Rattus norvegicus: one gene and its partner. The protein of the gene in region 2 binds, or shares a complex with, the protein of the main gene of each other region. Links are inferred from orthologs where the notes say so. Each region holds a gene or a part of one and is shown on either strand. Other genes may lie near its edges.

What was found.
Region 1: the proteins of Sntg1 (region 2) and Trpv3 are in contact, whole or in part, in a crystal structure (PDB 7QQN), measured with the Homo sapiens proteins. The link is inferred for Rattus norvegicus from reciprocal best matches to the Homo sapiens genes SNTG1 and TRPV3. Residues at the interface, in NP_001274742.1 of Homo sapiens: Arg62, Gly66, Gly67, Phe68, Gly69, Leu70, Ser71, Ile72, Lys73, Gly74, His78, Ser85, Lys86, His118, Glu119, Val122, Arg126; in NP_659505.1 of Homo sapiens: Pro786, Glu787, Thr788, Ser789, Val790.

The regions. Positions count from the first base shown.
Region 1 is NC_086028.1:58,386,758-58,395,278, forward strand, and holds part of Trpv3 (transient receptor potential cation channel subfamily V member 3), read left to right. Parts: intron 1-3,446; exon of another isoform or gene 3,447-3,949; coding exon of another isoform or gene 3,950-3,997; intron 3,998-5,056; coding exon 5,057-5,161; intron 5,162-5,268; coding exon 5,269-5,355; exon of another isoform or gene 5,356-5,672; coding exon of another isoform or gene 5,673-5,989; coding exon 5,990-6,144; intron 6,145-6,827; coding exon 6,828-7,004; intron 7,005-8,521. UniProt on the Homo sapiens protein: Non-selective calcium permeant cation channel. It is activated by innocuous (warm) temperatures and shows an increased response at noxious temperatures greater than 39 degrees Celsius. Activation exhibits an outward rectification.
Region 2 is NC_086023.1:15,574,466-15,582,680, forward strand, and holds part of Sntg1 (gamma-1-syntrophin), read left to right. Parts: intron 1-5,073; coding exon 5,074-5,235; 3' UTR 5,236-8,215. UniProt on the Homo sapiens protein: Adapter protein that binds to and probably organizes the subcellular localization of a variety of proteins. May link various receptors to the actin cytoskeleton and the dystrophin glycoprotein complex.

The DNA of each region.
Region 1 (8,521 bases), on a different chromosome or scaffold from region 2:
TCTTTCTGCTTCAGGGCTCTTCCAGAACCATGGCATATGGTATCCCAGTTAGCCCAGCACAAAGCCTCCCATTCCTGTTCTCAGTTATAGGGGCCTTTGTTGTTCTTGTATGCCTATAACCCAGACACTCCCTGAAGAGATTGATGTGGTCACTGGGACAAATGTGTCAACCCTGGTTGCCATCTCTGAGGATGGGGATCCCTGGAAGGGGTGATTGTCCCCTTCTTATCCCCTCAGTGACATACACTGGACATCTTGTTAGTTTTGAGTAAGTGAATGAGTCAGTGAGGGGTCAGGCAAGGGAATGAGGGAGTGTGTGAACCAATGAAGAAGTCGCTCAGCACCAGCCAGGCCACTGCATGGCGAGATGATGCTTTCTCCCTTCCTTGGGGCCCTTAGCTTTGGACCTGGGTGCTGAATACTTGTATGATATGACTTTTGGAGCCACTCCTGATCTCTTGGAGGAATCCAAGAGAAGATGGGACCTGGTGGAGGAATGGCAGAGGAGCCCACTTCAGCTTTGTGTGTAAAACTGAGGAGGGGTGGGAGAGCTTCAGCAGTTGGTAGCACAACTAGTCACAGGGAGGATTCGACCTCCAACATTGACAGTTTTAGGTTGCATTGATCTGTCTGAGTATTGGCCTTATCCACAGACCACTCCACCTTATCTACTTGATTGCTTATTATGTATCCATCCATCCATCTGTCCATCCATCCATCCATCCACCCACCCATCCATCCACCCACACATCCATCTGTCCGTCTGTTCGTCCACCTATCCATCTGTCTGTGGACCCTTTTATCTACCTACTGTTCATCTTAGCTCATCTGCTCTTCTGTCTGAACAGTCATTATTCCTTCCCCTCGAATACTTCTCACTCATCACCTATCCCCTCTCTTTTATTTTTTAATTTTAATTAATACATGTGCTTAGTTACTTTACATCCTGACTGAAATTTCCCTTCCCTCCTCTCATCACAGTCCTCCCCTCCTTCCTTCCTCCATATCTACTCCTCCCTTTCTCTTCAGAAAAGGGGAAGCCTCCCATGGATATCAACCAGCCTTGGCGCTTCAAATTGTAGTAGGTCTAGGCACATCTCCTATTGATTCTAGATGGGGCAGCTCAGTAAGGGGAAAACATCCCAAAGGCAGGCAACAGAGTCAGAGACAGCACCTGCTCTTGCTGTTAGGAGTCCCACATGAAGACCATACTACATAACTGTTACATATGTGCAGAGGGCCTACACCAGTCCCATGTAGGCTGTCTGGTTGGTGGTTCAGTCTCTGTGGGCCCCTATGGGCACCTATCAATACATACATTTATTCAGTGGGGTCTTCTGAGTTTCAGGACCACTGTTAGGAAATCAAAGTTGATTCTGGAAACTTAAGGATAGTGTTATCATAGTGTCTGCCATTGGGAAACTTACAGCTAAATGACAATGTATTGTCTAGAGCAGAATGAAATGGCCTGTCTGTGCTGTACAAGGCTGTCGGTCTTGCCTTGAAGTTACTTTTGATCAGCCCACTGGAATAGCAGATTTGGAATAGAAGGGAGGTTGCCTTTGTCATAGCTACAGGATCATTGCCTGTCACACTGTGGGTACTTGATAAGTATCTGCGAGTAAAGCAGCCTCAACGGCAGAGTCGGCTCACGGGAAGACAAGACCAAACCTTCTTGGAGAAAACCGTGGGTGTGGGTTTTGAGCTCTTCATGGAGAAAATCTAGCAACCAGGATGTCTTGAGGCTGAGTACTAGGAGATGTGCTGGGGACCTGAGTCAGGCTGCGGGAGTGGAGTGGGGCAGTGGGAGTTCAGGGTGTGGTCATCCGACTGGTTGACCTCCAATGTCCCTTTCAGCTCGACAGCCCATAAGTGCATGATCTTGGGGTAGCTGGGAATTGCCTGGCCTAATCAGTTTCCCATCAGTTGAGGATTCCTGATCTAAAGATGGAGAGTACCCAGCTGAGGGAGAATACAGATCAAAACCCAAGTTTTGAGTCCTAGTCAAAGATTTTCTCCACTTGCTTTCTCTCTTTTGATATTTTCATCTCTTTTGAAGTATTTGCTTTTAGTTAAGGCCAGAATCTCAATCTCTCCCTCCCTCTCTCCCTTCCTTCTTCCCTCCCTTCCTCTGTCCTTTCTCTCTTTCTCTCTCCCTAACCTCAACAGATTCTTTTTTTTTTTAAGATTTATCTATTTATTTATTTACTTATTTATTTACTATCTGTAAGTACACTGTAGCTGTCTTCAGAGACACCAGAAGAGGGCGTCAGATCTCATTACAGATGGTTATGAGCCACCATGTGGTTGCTGGGATTTGAACTCAGGACCTCTGGTAGGGCAGTCAGTGCTCCTAACCACTGAGCCATCTCTCCAGCCCACCTCAACAGATTCTTAACCTGTATCCCAGACTGACCTTGAACAACCTTTCTGCCTCAGTTTCCCGAGTACTTCATAGTGTGAGCCACCATGCCTGGCTCCTCTTGATGGTCAGAAGCCAGGAGGGGGAGGGACAGTGTGCCCTCTGCTCCATTTACCTCTTCTTCCTGGATTAATGATGAAGTTTAGCCTTGTCTATGCCTGAAGTGAGGAGAGGGACTTCCCAGGCCAACCAGCATTTTCCTGATTGCCCTGATTGGATAGCCTTCTTGTAGCTAACCCTTGCAGTGGATTTGGCTGCAAGCTGGCCCAGAGGACCAAGTTGAGGACAGAGCAGAGCAATGTGCATTGCTGTGCCAGTTACTAGCCTGGGTGGCAGGAGGAAGCAGTTCTATGGCCACCTGGAGTCAGCTCTAGGGGAAGATACTTCTTATGCTTAGCCTCAAATGCTTTGCCTGTCGACTGGGGCCCTGGTCCCAGGCTGCTGCTCTTCTTTCTGAGTTTGAGATGGGTGGAAACGCACTTTGAACGTCCTCTGTTCTGGGTCTGGGAAAGGCTCAGGTGGCAGAGTGTTTAGGACGGCTATGTGCCTGACGTTAGGCAGGCAGCATTCTGGGTGGGTTACACGGCCGGCTGCAGCTTTGCTACGGCAGCTGCTGTACCAGAACTGAGTTCACTCGCAGCTGATCCTCACCTTAGTGTCACCACGGGAACACTCACCTCCTAGGGTGACTGTGGTGTCCAAGGTCATGTGTGTCTGCATCTGTGGGTGTGGCTAGCCGTGGCTGGCAGAGTGTCTGGCTTTTCTTGAGGTAGGGTGTGTCTCCCAAACCCTTGAAGCCTGAAGAGGAAGCTGACTTGTCTCTCCTCCCCCAACCCCCACCTCCACTGACTGGCAATGTTTTCTGGGCCCTCTCCCTCCTTTCTATTTCATTTTTTTTTTTTTGCTTGTATATATAGGATACAAAGGTAGTGGTGTCATTAAGGCATTCATACAATGTACACAATGTTCTCTGATCACATTAGCCTCTTTTGCTATTTTCTAAAAAATAAAATTTGAACACTTATTTATTTATATGTGAATTTATATTTATTATGTATATGGGGGCTTTACCTACATGTATGCCTGTACGCTATGTGAGTAAAGTGCCCACAGAAGCCAGAAGAAGGAAGGTACAGAACCCCCTAGGACTAGAGTTACAGATGGTTGTGAGCCATGTGGGTGCCGGGGATTGAACCTGGGTCCTCTGGAAGAGCAGCCAGTCCTCTAAGTGCTGAGCCACCTCCCGAATCCTTCTTATTCTTCCTTATTCCTTCTCCTGTTATCATTATCCTTCCGCATCCCTAGCACTTCCACTTGTAGCTTTGTGGGCCTGCTCTATATTGTGTGTTTCTAAGTCTGGCTTATTTCACTTAGCGGGCTCATCTCCAGTTCCGTACATTTTCCTGAAAATGTTACAGGATCCAGTTCTTCATGGCTAAATAGGACGTCATTTGATTTATTTATTTTTTCCAGCATCATATTTTTGTTGATTATTTGGGAATTCTACACAATGCACCCTGATCATATTCACCTCTCAGTCCTTGAAGGTCCATCCCTAACCCTTGTGACTTCCTCCTACAAAGAGAAGAAGAAAGAAAAAATTTCAAGTCCATTTTGAGAACACTATCTTATAAAATACCGTATTTCATTTGTTCATCTGTGGGTGGGCAGTTTGGCTGACTCTTTAACTTGGCTATTGTGAATAGTGGTGTAATAAATGTGTATGTGCAGGTGTCCTTGTAGGGAACTAGCTTGGATTCTTTTTTCTATAGATCTACAGACCCCAGAGCTGGATCATATCGAAGTTCTAATTTAAAAGTTTTGAGGTGCCTCCATATTGACTCCCACAGAGACTGTGCTATTTTATGTTATCTGTAGCAGTATGTGAGTGCTCTCTCCTTGTCTGTCCCAATTACCACCGTTTGGTGTTGCTTGTTATCTTCATGATAGCCATTCTCACATGATATTTATTTTATTTTATTTTATTTTAGAGATAGTCCTGCTATGTAGCACAGGCTAGCCTCAAACCTATGATCTTCTTGACTCAACTCTCTGAGTTATAAGATTAGGGGCAGATGCCACCATGACTGGTTTGAGTTTTTCTTCTTAGTGGAGGATCCCCAGTCCAGGCCCCCAGCTCTCTGCCCTAGACTAGCTTTCCTAGTCCATTTCCTGCTGTGGTAAAGGGGCTAATGGGCAACAAGAGCAGCCAGGGTGACTCTGGCCCTTCCTCTTAAGCTGCTGGAAGGCCTGTGGGGCTTTGAGCCTAGAGGCCCCCCTCTCAAAGGCTTCTCTGCTTCCAGGCTTATGTTCTAGGCACAGCTGGTTGGAGATGGGAAGGCCTGTTTCCACGTTGCCATCTTTGAAAGACTGTATACTTGAGGGCAGCCGCAAACCCTCAGGTGCTGGGCCATGCTCAGTGATCCTCTTGGGCTCATCCACACAGTACTTCTAGAGGCAAGAGCCATTTAAACTCAGCTAAGAACCCAGAGTCTACTCCATCCTGGAGGGCTAGGCCAGGACACACGGCACAAAGGCTAGGGCTCAGCATGAGTGGGTCCTCTGTGGCAAGGCTGCAGGACACAGGCAGACAGGCCCAGCCCCAGTTCTAATGGCCTTGATTGGTCCCTTCAGTGCACACTTCTTCCTGGAGATAGAAGGATTTGAGCCCAACCCCACTGTTACCAAGACCTCTCCCCCAATCTTCTCCAAGCCGATGGACTCCAACATCCGGCAGTGGTGAGTACTGGCTGCTGGCCTGAACACATGGTTAGGCCTGGTGGTGGCATAGTAGCACTGTCCACTTCTAAAGTTGGCTTACTCTCTTTCCTCTTCTCCATCTCCAGCCTCTCTGGCAACTGTGATGACATGGACTCTCCTCAGTCTCCTCAGGATGATGTGACAGAGACCCCATCCAATCCCAACAGTCCAAGGTAAGTGTGCCCTTTCCCTCCCCTCACTGATCTCAGAAGAGGGTACATCACAGGGATGGGTTGTACAGGATAGAGAAAGAACCAGCATCTCTGGGGAGTTGAGACAAACATCTGGAGGCTCCAGGCCATGGTTGTAGCCTGTGACATTTTGTGGAGCAGAGCAAAATATCAGTATATTATAAAATGATTTCTGTTCATTATAAAACATTCAAAAATGTACAAAAGAATAAGGACGTCAGCACAAGTTACATAAGTGAAAGGAGACACATCTGCATTACAGTAATAGTCTATTTAGAGTGTGGGGCAGGAAGGGATACATGGAAATGTTCAGATATGCCAGTGAAAGGGAGCTTTCTCTTCCCTTAGTTCCATATTTCAGAGTAATGGCTACACTAGACATACATCCTTCTTGCTCATTCTCACGTGTATGCAGGTGTATTTTGATAGATGTGATTGCATATGGATTGGAAGGGGAGCTTGACCAAACATGGAACACAAATCTGGGCATTGCCAAAGACATAGGAGGCATAGGGGTTGGAGCAGTGGCCCGGAAACTAAGTAGCTCCGGTGGTGGAGGGGAAGAGGGTAGGAACAGAGGCAAACGGGATGAATTCGCAATGTCTTCCGGTCTTAGCGCAAACCTGGCCAAGGAAGAACAGAGGCAGAAGAAGAAGCGGCTGAAGAAGTGCATCTTCGCGGCTGTATCAGAGGGCTGCGTGAGGGAGCTGCGGGAACTCCTGCAGGATCTGCAGGAGCTCTGCAGACGGCGCCGCGGCCTGGATGCGTCTGGTCAGTGCCCAGCCCTGTCCTAGAGTGCAGGCCCCTGGAGACCCTGGTTGGTTTGGCTTGGCCCCTGCTCTATCTCCTGTGGGGCTGAAGCATGAGGCATGGATATTGGGATAGCAATCTTGTGCTTGACTTAGAGGGCCATGGGGAGTCCCGGGTCATGGGTTTAGGTAGGAAGAGGGCGTGGTCTGGCTATTGTGTGGAGTAAGTCAGGAGAGGGTTGCTATTCAGAGTGTTGGCACCCTGCAGCAGGCCTAGGGGATGGGGAAGGGTTCCTTGGGCATTGACAGGAATTGAAGGCTTTGGGGGTCCATAGCTGTGTGGGGACTAAGGAGAGGAGCAGGTTGGTGGGGGAGGTGGTAAGATGTACTTTTAGAGCATGAGGAGGGATATGATGGAGATTTTGGCACCCACATGGGCAGCCAGGCTGCAGGTGACATTGTCTCTCCTGCGAGAGAAGGTGCAGAACTTGGAGAGCAGGAGGACTTGGATAAGGTTTTCACAGGCAGTAGAGAGCTGTGAACAACGAACCAGGGAGGGAGTTGGAGGAAGAAAGAGGATCTGGTGTACAGGCCTGAGGGCCCTCTCTTGTGGCTGGAGGGCGTACTTCCAAAGTACGAGGCTGCAGCTTCCACTGTTCTGTCTGCTCTTCCTACCCCTGCATTTTTCCTTGACTCTGTCTGCAGACTTCCTCATGCACAAGCTGACAGCCTCAGACACTGGGAAGACCTGCCTGATGAAAGCTTTGCTCAACATCAACCCCAACACCAAAGAGATCGTGCGGATTCTGCTTGCCTTCGCTGAGGAGAATGACATCCTGGACAGGTTCATCAATGCAGAGTACACGGAAGAGGCCTACGAAGGTACCTGGAGGCAGAGGCAACCAAGGGCAACGGGGAGAGGTTGGGATTTCCCAAGGTGGGTGTGGCTACAGATACAGCCTACCTTGCCTCACAGAGGCACTTTGGTTATAGAGATATGGCCCTTTCTTTTGCATGTAAATAACGCTGAGCGTGGGTGAACAGGTCAGGAAACACTGATGCTCTAAAAAGGCGACTTTAGGCAGAATATGCCAGGAACAGAAGTAAAGATGATGCAGTGTGACAGAAAGTGACTGGGGTGAGCAACCAGGTGTTCAACACTGGGGTGTGAACAGCAGTGGCCTTGGCCAAAGCTCACCTGATGGGAAGGATCCAGAGCAGGGTCAGGGTAAGAACCCCAAGATGGGCATGGGCTTGGCGGATTTGACACTAGGAAGACCGCAGGGCCTGGGGATGTTGTTAGATTGAGAAGCGCTTCCTTAGCATGTTCAAGACACTGTTAGATTCCCAAGAACCACAAACAAAACAAAACAAACAAAAAACAGAACAACAACAACAAAACAAAAACAAAAACAAAAAAACCCCAAAAACCAGACAACCGAAGGAGAAGCCTGGAGAGCCCAGTAGGGGACAGCAAAGGCAGCAGTCAGCCTTACAGTCATGAATAAGCTGTCCATTTCAGTGGTTTTGTGGAACCAGGGAATATAATTTATTGCCTTGTTTCCCTGACCAGGAGACACACTGTGTGAACTGTTAACAGGCTATGTCATGAGTCTTTTGAGTCAGTACACAGCTTGTCCCAGTTAGCAGACAGCAGACGTGGTCAGCTCATGATCAGCAGTCTTGCTGATACGCCAGGGGCTGTAAACACCTCAGCTTTTCCAGGTGAGAGCTAGGGGGGTGTCTTTAATCCTTATGGGGAAAGTAATCTTGATTTATTGTTTGAACTATACAGACTTTTGAAAGGGAACGTCATAGCACTATGGAGGAGGGGTGGGAACCCCAGGGAAGAATTGCTGTGACTGCTGGAGAGAGAGCCATATCCTGTCTTCAGACTGTCACATGAGAGCTGGCATTAGGCCTGCCAGGTTCAGACCAGTATCTGAGGCTTATTTGTCCTGCCTCCTCTCCCCTTCCGACCTTCTGTACTTTTCTTTCTTTTTGTTTATAGTTCAGGGCCCTATGGTCTCACCATTGCTAGCACAAGATCCCTTTAATTTTGGGGTTGTGGTGCTGGATAGAGCTCTTACCAGGAAGCTACCTCCCTACCTCTTAAAAACATTTGAGCTAAGGCCTCACTAAGTTGCTCAGGTTGGTCTAGAACTCATTTCACAACCCAGATAGCTTTGAACTTGTGATCTTCCTGCCTCCCTGCTGAGTACCTGGCATTACCAGCCTGGGTCAATAGGCCTGCCTAGTGAGGTCGTTTTGAGGGCAAGGATGGAGTTTGTTGCTCATGGTCGATTTCACCCACGGAGAGGTTTAACACGTTTTTGGTAAGAGTTAACACACAACCTTCTTCGTCTCTGTAGTAAGGTTTTTCTGTCCTGGCCACACAT
Region 2 (8,215 bases):
GTGATATTTTGACTTTTTCATTTCCAACTTGTATCCCTTTTACTTCCTTTTGTTTTCTGAATGCTCTGGTTAGGACTTTGAATACTACATTGAATAGGTAGGGTAAGAGTCGGAAGACTTGTCTAGTTCCTGATTTTAATAGGACTGCTTCAATTTTCTCTCCATTTAATATGATGCTGGCTATTGGTTTTCTGTAAATTGCTTTTACTTTGTTTAAGTGTGGGCCTTGAATTACTGATCTTTTCAAGACTTTTCACAGGAAGGGATGTTGAGTTTTGTCAAATGCTTTCTCACCATCTAATGAGAGCATCATGTGGTTTTTATCTTTGAGTTTGTTTCCATAGTGGATTATATTGACGGACTTATATGTATTGAAACATCCCTACATCCCTGTGATGAAGCCTATTTGATCATGATGGATGATGGTTTTGATATGTTCTTGGATTCGGTTTGTGAGAATTTTATTGAGCATTTTTGCATCAATATTCATATGGGAAACTGGTCTGAAATTCTCTTTCTTTCTTGGGTCTTTGTGTGATTTAGGTATAAGCATAATTGTGGCTTCATAGAAGGAATTGGGTAGTGCTCCTTCTGTTTCTATTTTGTGGAATAGTTTGGATAGTATTGGTATGAGGTCTTCTATGAAGGTCTGATAGAATTCTGCACTGAACCCATCTGGACCTGGGCTCTATTTGGTTGGGAGACTTTTAATAGCTTTTAATAGCTCTTATTTCTTTAGGAGTTATGGTACTGTTTAGATACTTTATCTGATCCTGATTTTATTTTGGTATCTCGTATCTGTATAGAAATTGTCCATTTTCTCCTGATTTTCCAGGTTTGCTGAATATAGGCTTTTGTAGTAGGATCTGATGTTTTTTAAAATATCTAAGATTCTGTTGTTATGTCTCCCTTTTCATTTCTGATTTTGTTAATTTGAATACACACACTGTGTCCTCTGGTTAGTCTGGCTAAGGGTTTATCTATCTTGTTGATTTTCTTAAAGAACCAGCTTCTGTTTTTGTTCCTTCTTTGTATAGTCTTTTTGTTTCTAGCTGGTTGATTTCAGCCCTGAATTTGATTATTTCCTGCCTTCTACTCGGTTTGGGTGTATTTGCAACTTTTTGTTCTAGAGCTTTTACGTATGCTGTCAAGCTGCTAATGTATGCTCTCTTCAGTTTCTTTTTTGTGGCACTCAGAGATATGAGTTTTCCTCTTAGCATTGCTCTGATTGTGTCTAATAAGTTAGGGTATGTTATACCTTCATTTTCATTAAATTTTAAAAAGTCTTTATTTTCTTTCTTTATTTCTTCCTTGACCAAGTTACCATTAAGTAGAGCATTGTTCAACTTCCATGTGTATGTTGGGTTTCAGCTGTTTTTATTGTTATTGAAGACCAGCCATAGTCTGTGGTGATCTCATATGATGCATGGGATTATTTCAATCTTCTTGTATCTGTTGAGGGCTGTCTATTGCCCGATTATATGGTCAGTTTTGGAGAAGGTACCATGAGGTGCTGAGAAGAAGGTATATTCTCTTGTTTTAGGAGGAAATGTTCTATAAATATCTGTTAAATCCATTTGGTTCATAACTTCTGTTAGTTTCTCTGTGTTTCTGTTTAGTTTGTTTCCATGATCTCTCCATTGATGAGAGTTGGGTGTTGAAATCTCCCATTATTACTGTGTGAGGTACAGTGTGTCCTTTGAGATTTAGTAAGGTTTCTTTTATAAATGTAGGTGCCCTTGCATTTGGAGCATAGATATTTAGGTTTTAGAGTTCATCTTGAATATGTAGTGTCCTTCCTTATCTTTTTTGACAAATTTTGGTTGAAAGTTGATTTTATTCAATATTAGAATGGCTATTTCATCTTGTTTCTTGGTACCATTTGCTTGGAAAATTGCTTTCCAGGCTTTTCTCTAAAGTAGTGTCTGCCTTTCTCACTGAGGTGTGTTTTCTGTGTGCAGCAAAATTCTGAGTCCACTTTATGTATCCAGTCTGTCTGTCTATCTCTTTATATTGGGGAATTGAGTCCATTGATGTTGAGAGAGTGTAGCGACCAATGTTTGTTGTTTCCTGTTACTTTTCTTATTAGAGGTGAAATTATGATTTTTTGTCTCTCTTCTTTTGGGTTTGTTGCCAGAAGATTATTCTCTTGCTGTTTTTAGGGTGTAGTTTCCTTGCTTTGTTGGAGTTTTCCATCTACTATCCTTTGTAGGGCTGGATTTGTAGAAAAATATTGTGTAAATTTGGTATTGTCGTGGAATATATTGGTTTCTCCATCTATGTTAATTGAGAATTTTGCTGAATATAGTAGCCTGGGCTGGCATTTGTGTTCTCTTAGGGTCTGTATGACATTTGCCCAGGATCTTCTGGCTCTCATAGTTTCTGGTGAGAAGTCTGATGTAATTCTGATAAGTCTGTCTTTATATGTTACTTGATCTTTTTTCCCTTACTGCTTTTTAATATCCCTTCTTTTTTGTGCATTTGGTGTTTTGACTATTATGGAATGGAAGGAATTTCTTTTCTGGTCCAATCTATTTGGAGTTCTGTGGGCTTCTTGCATGTTTATGGGCATCTCTTTCTTATGTTAAGGAAGTTTTCTTCTATAATTTTGTTGAAGATATTTACTAGCCCTTTAAGGTGGTAGTTTTCACTGTTTACTATACCTATTATTGTTAGGTTTGATCTTTTCACTGTTTCCAGGATTTCCTAGATGTTTTGGGTTAGGAACTTTTTGTGTTTCACTTTTTCTTTGGTGGTTGTGTCGATGTTTTCTATGGAATCTTCTGTCCCTGAGATTCTCTCTTCTATCTCTTGTATTCTGTTGTTGATGCTTGCATCACTGACTCTTGATCTCTTTTCTAGGTTTTCTATCTCCAGGGTTGTCTCCCTTTGTGATTTTTTTATTGTTTCTATTTCCATTTTTAAATCCTGGATGGTTTTGTTGAATTCCTTCAACTGTTCGGTTATGTTTTCCTATAATTCTTTAAGGGATTTTTATGTTTCCTCTTTAAGGGCTTCTACTTGTTTACCTGTGTTGTCCTATATTTTTTAAGGCAGTAATTTATATACTTTTTAAAGTTCACTATCATCATAATGAGATTTCATTTTAAATCCAAATCTTGCTTTCCAGTGTGTTTGGATATCCTGTATTTGCTTTGGTGGGAGAAGTGTGGTTTGATGATGTCAAATAGTCTTGATTTCTATTGCTTAGCTTCCTGAACTTGGCTCTCACCATCAGGTTGTCTCTGGTGTTGATTTGTCTACCTGTCTATGACAGGGGTTTGACCTTCCTGTAAACCTGTGTGTCAGCACTCCTGTAGACCTGTTTTCTTTCAGTGGGATCTGGATACAGAGAGCTGTGTGACTGGGTCAGCTTCGGGTATAGGCAGAAATCGGAAGGGTCCTGTCCAAAACTGCTCTTGGGTTTGTGTGTCCTAGGTCCTCCAGGCAGGTCACTTGGAGCAGAAGGATTGGTCTTAACTCTGCTCTCAGGTGTGTTCTGGCTCCTGCAGGTTGGCTTTCAGCTCAGTGTGCAGGCAGAAACCAGAAGTGTCTTGTCCCTGTCTGCTCCTAGGTTCCTGTGTCCAAAGGGCACAGAGGGCACTTGGCACATTCCTCTTGGGTCAGGAGTGTTAGCAGAAGTAATTGTGTCCTCTGAGTTCTCAGGATTGTCTACACTTCTGAGAGTCCATCTCTGTCCCCCACCAATGGTATTCATTTAATGACCAAATACTTAAATGTTTAAATTAGATTTTATTTTGTAAGATTCACAGAGGGAGTAGGGGAAACAGATAATTTCTGTTGCAAGGCAAAAGCATACACAACTCATATATGTGTGGGAATGAAAGTCTCAGAAATGTGAAAAATGGGTAGAGAGAGAAGAATACTTCTGACAATTCATACAGCTGTGATCAAGGACATAATGGAAATGACTGCGGCTTCAAGATCTCCACATGGACATAGAAGACTAGGGAGGTTGTGTTGAATTATTGCCAAAGGTGAATTCATCAGTCTTCTGCAATATCTTCTTAATATCTGTTATTCCTATAATCCAGAAAAAAACCTCAGTGTGAAAGATATAAAACTAATTAAAGTCTTAATCAATATCATATTATTATGAAATACTGCACAAGAGGATAGAATAATTAGAAACACCAATCTTATATAAAATGCCTAAATGTTTAGAAGTTTGAAGAGCTTGAAAAACAAATACTGTCTTCAACTTAATAGACACATTTTTGAGAAATATTGCTTTAATATTTGTTTTCAAAGACATTCAAAATTATTCTTCTCCTAAATGAAAATACGGAACATATACACAGACAGAGAAACACAAAGAGAGAGACATAGACACACAGAAATATTAATGGGGTGGAAGGGATGTTGGGAAACAACATAGTAGTGATTTGACAGAGGAAAGAAAGGGAAAAATAAATTTATGATTGTATTTTAGTTAATTATTCATTAAAATAAAATAAGTCTTAGATAATTGTGACAGAATTAAAAAAAAATTTCCTTGGTGGAAAAATTTTTAGCTACTACAATAATGAAGTAAAAATTTTACCACTTTCAGAAATGTCAAAAATTAAGCTGTAAACTATAAAATGGAGAAAGACAACTCTTGAGGTACTAGATGAATTCTATTGTGTTCCTATTGTAAAACCCAAGAGAAAACACTAATGTTCATCAATTTTCTTCAGCAGCACTTTGGTGTATTATCATCTCTTCTAATCATGTGGATTGTATAAATTGTAAACATCAGGAACAGTATGTAAAGCATTTGTAGTTATTCATCACTCACCACAAACAGAAAATGTGTCATTAATTTCAGTGGTTTAGTACATGTGAATTATCCTCTTTGCAATAATAAGTAATCTGCACATCATTTTATTAAGCAAATAAATCTATTAATCAGCTTTCAATCTTCTTGGCATTATAATGCATCTATCATAGTATTGTATTTTCATACATTCCATATCCTTGATTCCAGATGTTTGTTACACGTAAATATGACAATTTGTTGACAATTTCATGAAAAAATATTTCCCTGATCTATTTCTCTTTTCCTTTCAGGAGTTGGAATTTTCAAATTTGTTTGCTGTTCTTCACTGTATTCATTCATTTTTTGCTGCCAAAGTAGCTTGTTTGGACCCTCTGTTTTTAGGTAATCAGGCTGCTACTTCCGCTGCTGCTGCCAGCTCTGCTTCTACAAGCAAGGCAAAACACATGGCTTGACATGCTGAGCTCTGCCTGACAGCCGGCAGGGCCACTCGCTCCCTACTTCCACCCTAGAGAGACCATGCTGTCACCAAGTCAATCATGGAGTCAGATTGCAATTCCAGCAGCAGAAAGGTCAGGAGGCATCTGCAAATGACCCTGGGAGGGCAGAGAAAATTATTCCTTCCCCCCTGATCTCTATCAGGATACAGCTGTCACTGTGTTTGGTGACAAAGGGATGATTGGTGTAAAGTATGTAAATATTAATAAAAATTGTAAGCTACCTATAAATAAAATACCAATTAAATGACTATTTCTCTATTTTAGATGATTTTCTATGACAAATGCATATTGGGCCAGATCATGAATCAATGCCCTATCATTGTATTATGAGTGTAAAGAAGTTAAAAAAATAAAAGCAAGGCAAGTAGCATGCACATTAAACAGACAAACAAACGAACAACAAAATGAAAACAAATGACCTCAAAGACAGAAGCACCTTAACTTATCCGTGTGAGTTACTTCCTATATTCCCATCCCATGGTTCCATATGAGCACTCCAGCTGTGTTTATCTTATTGTAAAATATTCTGGAGAATTAATAAAGACAATTACATTGGCTTGTGAAAACACCCTAGGAAATGAAACATTTCTTCTTTGGTGAATGTTACTAATATGTTTTATATTAGAAAATGGTATTAATTATGAATGTCAAAAACATTCTACACTTAAACACATTTCTTCTTTTTTTGCTTAATGAGGTTTATGAACAAATCAACATTAATAAATTTAAATGTCCCAAAACTCTTGCAGAAAATAATCAATAAATTCTGTGTAAGAAACAAGTCTTTGTTATAGTTTTCTCTTTAGTCATTAACTAAAAAGTTCCTGAAAGGTACTCTCAGAGGTTATGAAAACTGGTGATATTTTCATTTGAGTTTACTTATGTGTAAATCAAGTGAGATTTGAAAACAAGCATCAAACAAGCATCGTGTTATAAAGTTCCATGGAAAGGGATTGAATAGTGTCCCATGAGGTAGGCCGCTGCAGGTAGCTTGTTTCAGCACTAGGAAGGTAAAACATCAAAAAGGTGTATTGTGGGGTGCGCACTCATAGCCAAGAACTGGAGATTGCTCATCATACAAAGCACGAGGCAGTCTCTGCCCTTTACTAAGGCTCTGTTGGTGTCTGCTTTAAACAACTAGCTGCTTGATCAAAAGTAAACAAATAAAGCCCACTTTTATCGGTACATATTTCAATTGAATATTGTTTGATTCCCCTTAAAATGATCAATTTCTAATAAGTAGGTCAGTATCCCTTCCTTAAATAGGAAACAATCCCACATTAGACTCAAGAGGAAAGCAAAATCTTTTCTTTAAAGGAACACTTACGCCTAAGTGTAAAGTCATCAAATAGTGAACTATTTTCATAATAATTAGAAATACTAATTTATTTTACACTGGATTAAGTGAAATCTCAAAATGAGATATGGAAATGTTAAGTTAGATCTAAAGATGCCTTGCCAACAGAACATGGAAATTTGATAATAGAGGTTTATATATTCTATTTGAACAAGGAATTTCAGTGTATACCCACAATAGTCACTTGGGGAGTACTGCTTACTAGAGCCACCAAACACAAAGGCTATGGTAATTCTGAATTTCACTAAGTTCTGAGTTCCACCTGTCTAACATAGAGGAGAAAGAGTAGAGAGAGACACCCTTGCTATCTTTTTTGCAAGTTCTGCTGCTGCACATGGTGGGTGCTGCCCCCAGGGTGGGTGACCACTGGAATTTAAAACATACAGTCTCCTGTAATCATTCAAAACAACTTCATAGAGCTCAAGAGATGGCTTAGTGGTTAAGAATCTTTACTGCTCTTTCAGGGGACCGGGATTTGATTGCAGAACCCACACAGTGACTCAGAGTCATCCGGGACTGCAATTTCAGGGGTTTTAATGCCCTCCTCAAAACTCAGTAGCACCAGATTCACAGGTGCATATACAAACATGCAGGTGAAACATCGCCTAAAAAATCTAAAAGTAGATTTTACAAAGCTCTATTTAAGCATACAAACCCTTTTTTGCTGTTGTTGTTATATTAACTATTCTATCAGTGCCCCTGTTGTAAAAACCAGCTGAACTGTGAGATTAGATCTGAGTATAGAACTTGTACCCTATGCGTGTTTGTAGACATATGAATATATGTATAGAGACAAGTACAAAATGTTGAGCTTAATTATACTGAAAGAAAATGTTTCACATGCATATATAGCTATATATGTATTGAGCTATAAAGTGTTGGTTGAATTAAAACCTACTAGAACAACCTTATTTTTCTTACTTTTTATAATATTGGTTAAAATATCACCCAAGCTGAAATTTCTATTTAACATGATTAGTATAATAGGTACCAATTAGGAAAATACTTTTCTGGTTTTCATACATTTACCAGTTAGTATTTAATGCTTTCTTTATAGTGTAATTAAGCACTGTGAGATGCTATGACTTTGGCTACTTAAATGAGAAAACTGTAGAAATTCATGAAAATACAGAGTTCAACTTCACAGTAAGTTAGGTTAAGATATAGATTTTTTTTTCTAACAATCCCAAGTTTGAGTATTAAGCAAACATGAGAATGCTTAATTATGTGTTAACCCCTTCAGTGCCTTTTTGGATGTGTATGCACATACGTGTGTGTGTGTGTGTGTGTGTGTGTGTGTGTGTGTGTGTGTGTGTGTGTGTGCCTGTGTAGATCATTAAAGGGCTTATTATTGTGTACACACTGCAAGCTTAAAGGAAAATGTAGTTAAGTGTGTTAGAGAGAGGAGTTTAAAACAGCTAAGATGAGAATGTCTTTTCTGTGGTAAACAAAAAAATTATCTGAAATAAAGTGCATCAAAGCAGGAGGACTTGAGTTTGTTATAGGTTAACTCCAAAATTACCTTAATAGATGATTTAAATATAACAAATACCCAATGCTTCCTATCTAATTCTATTT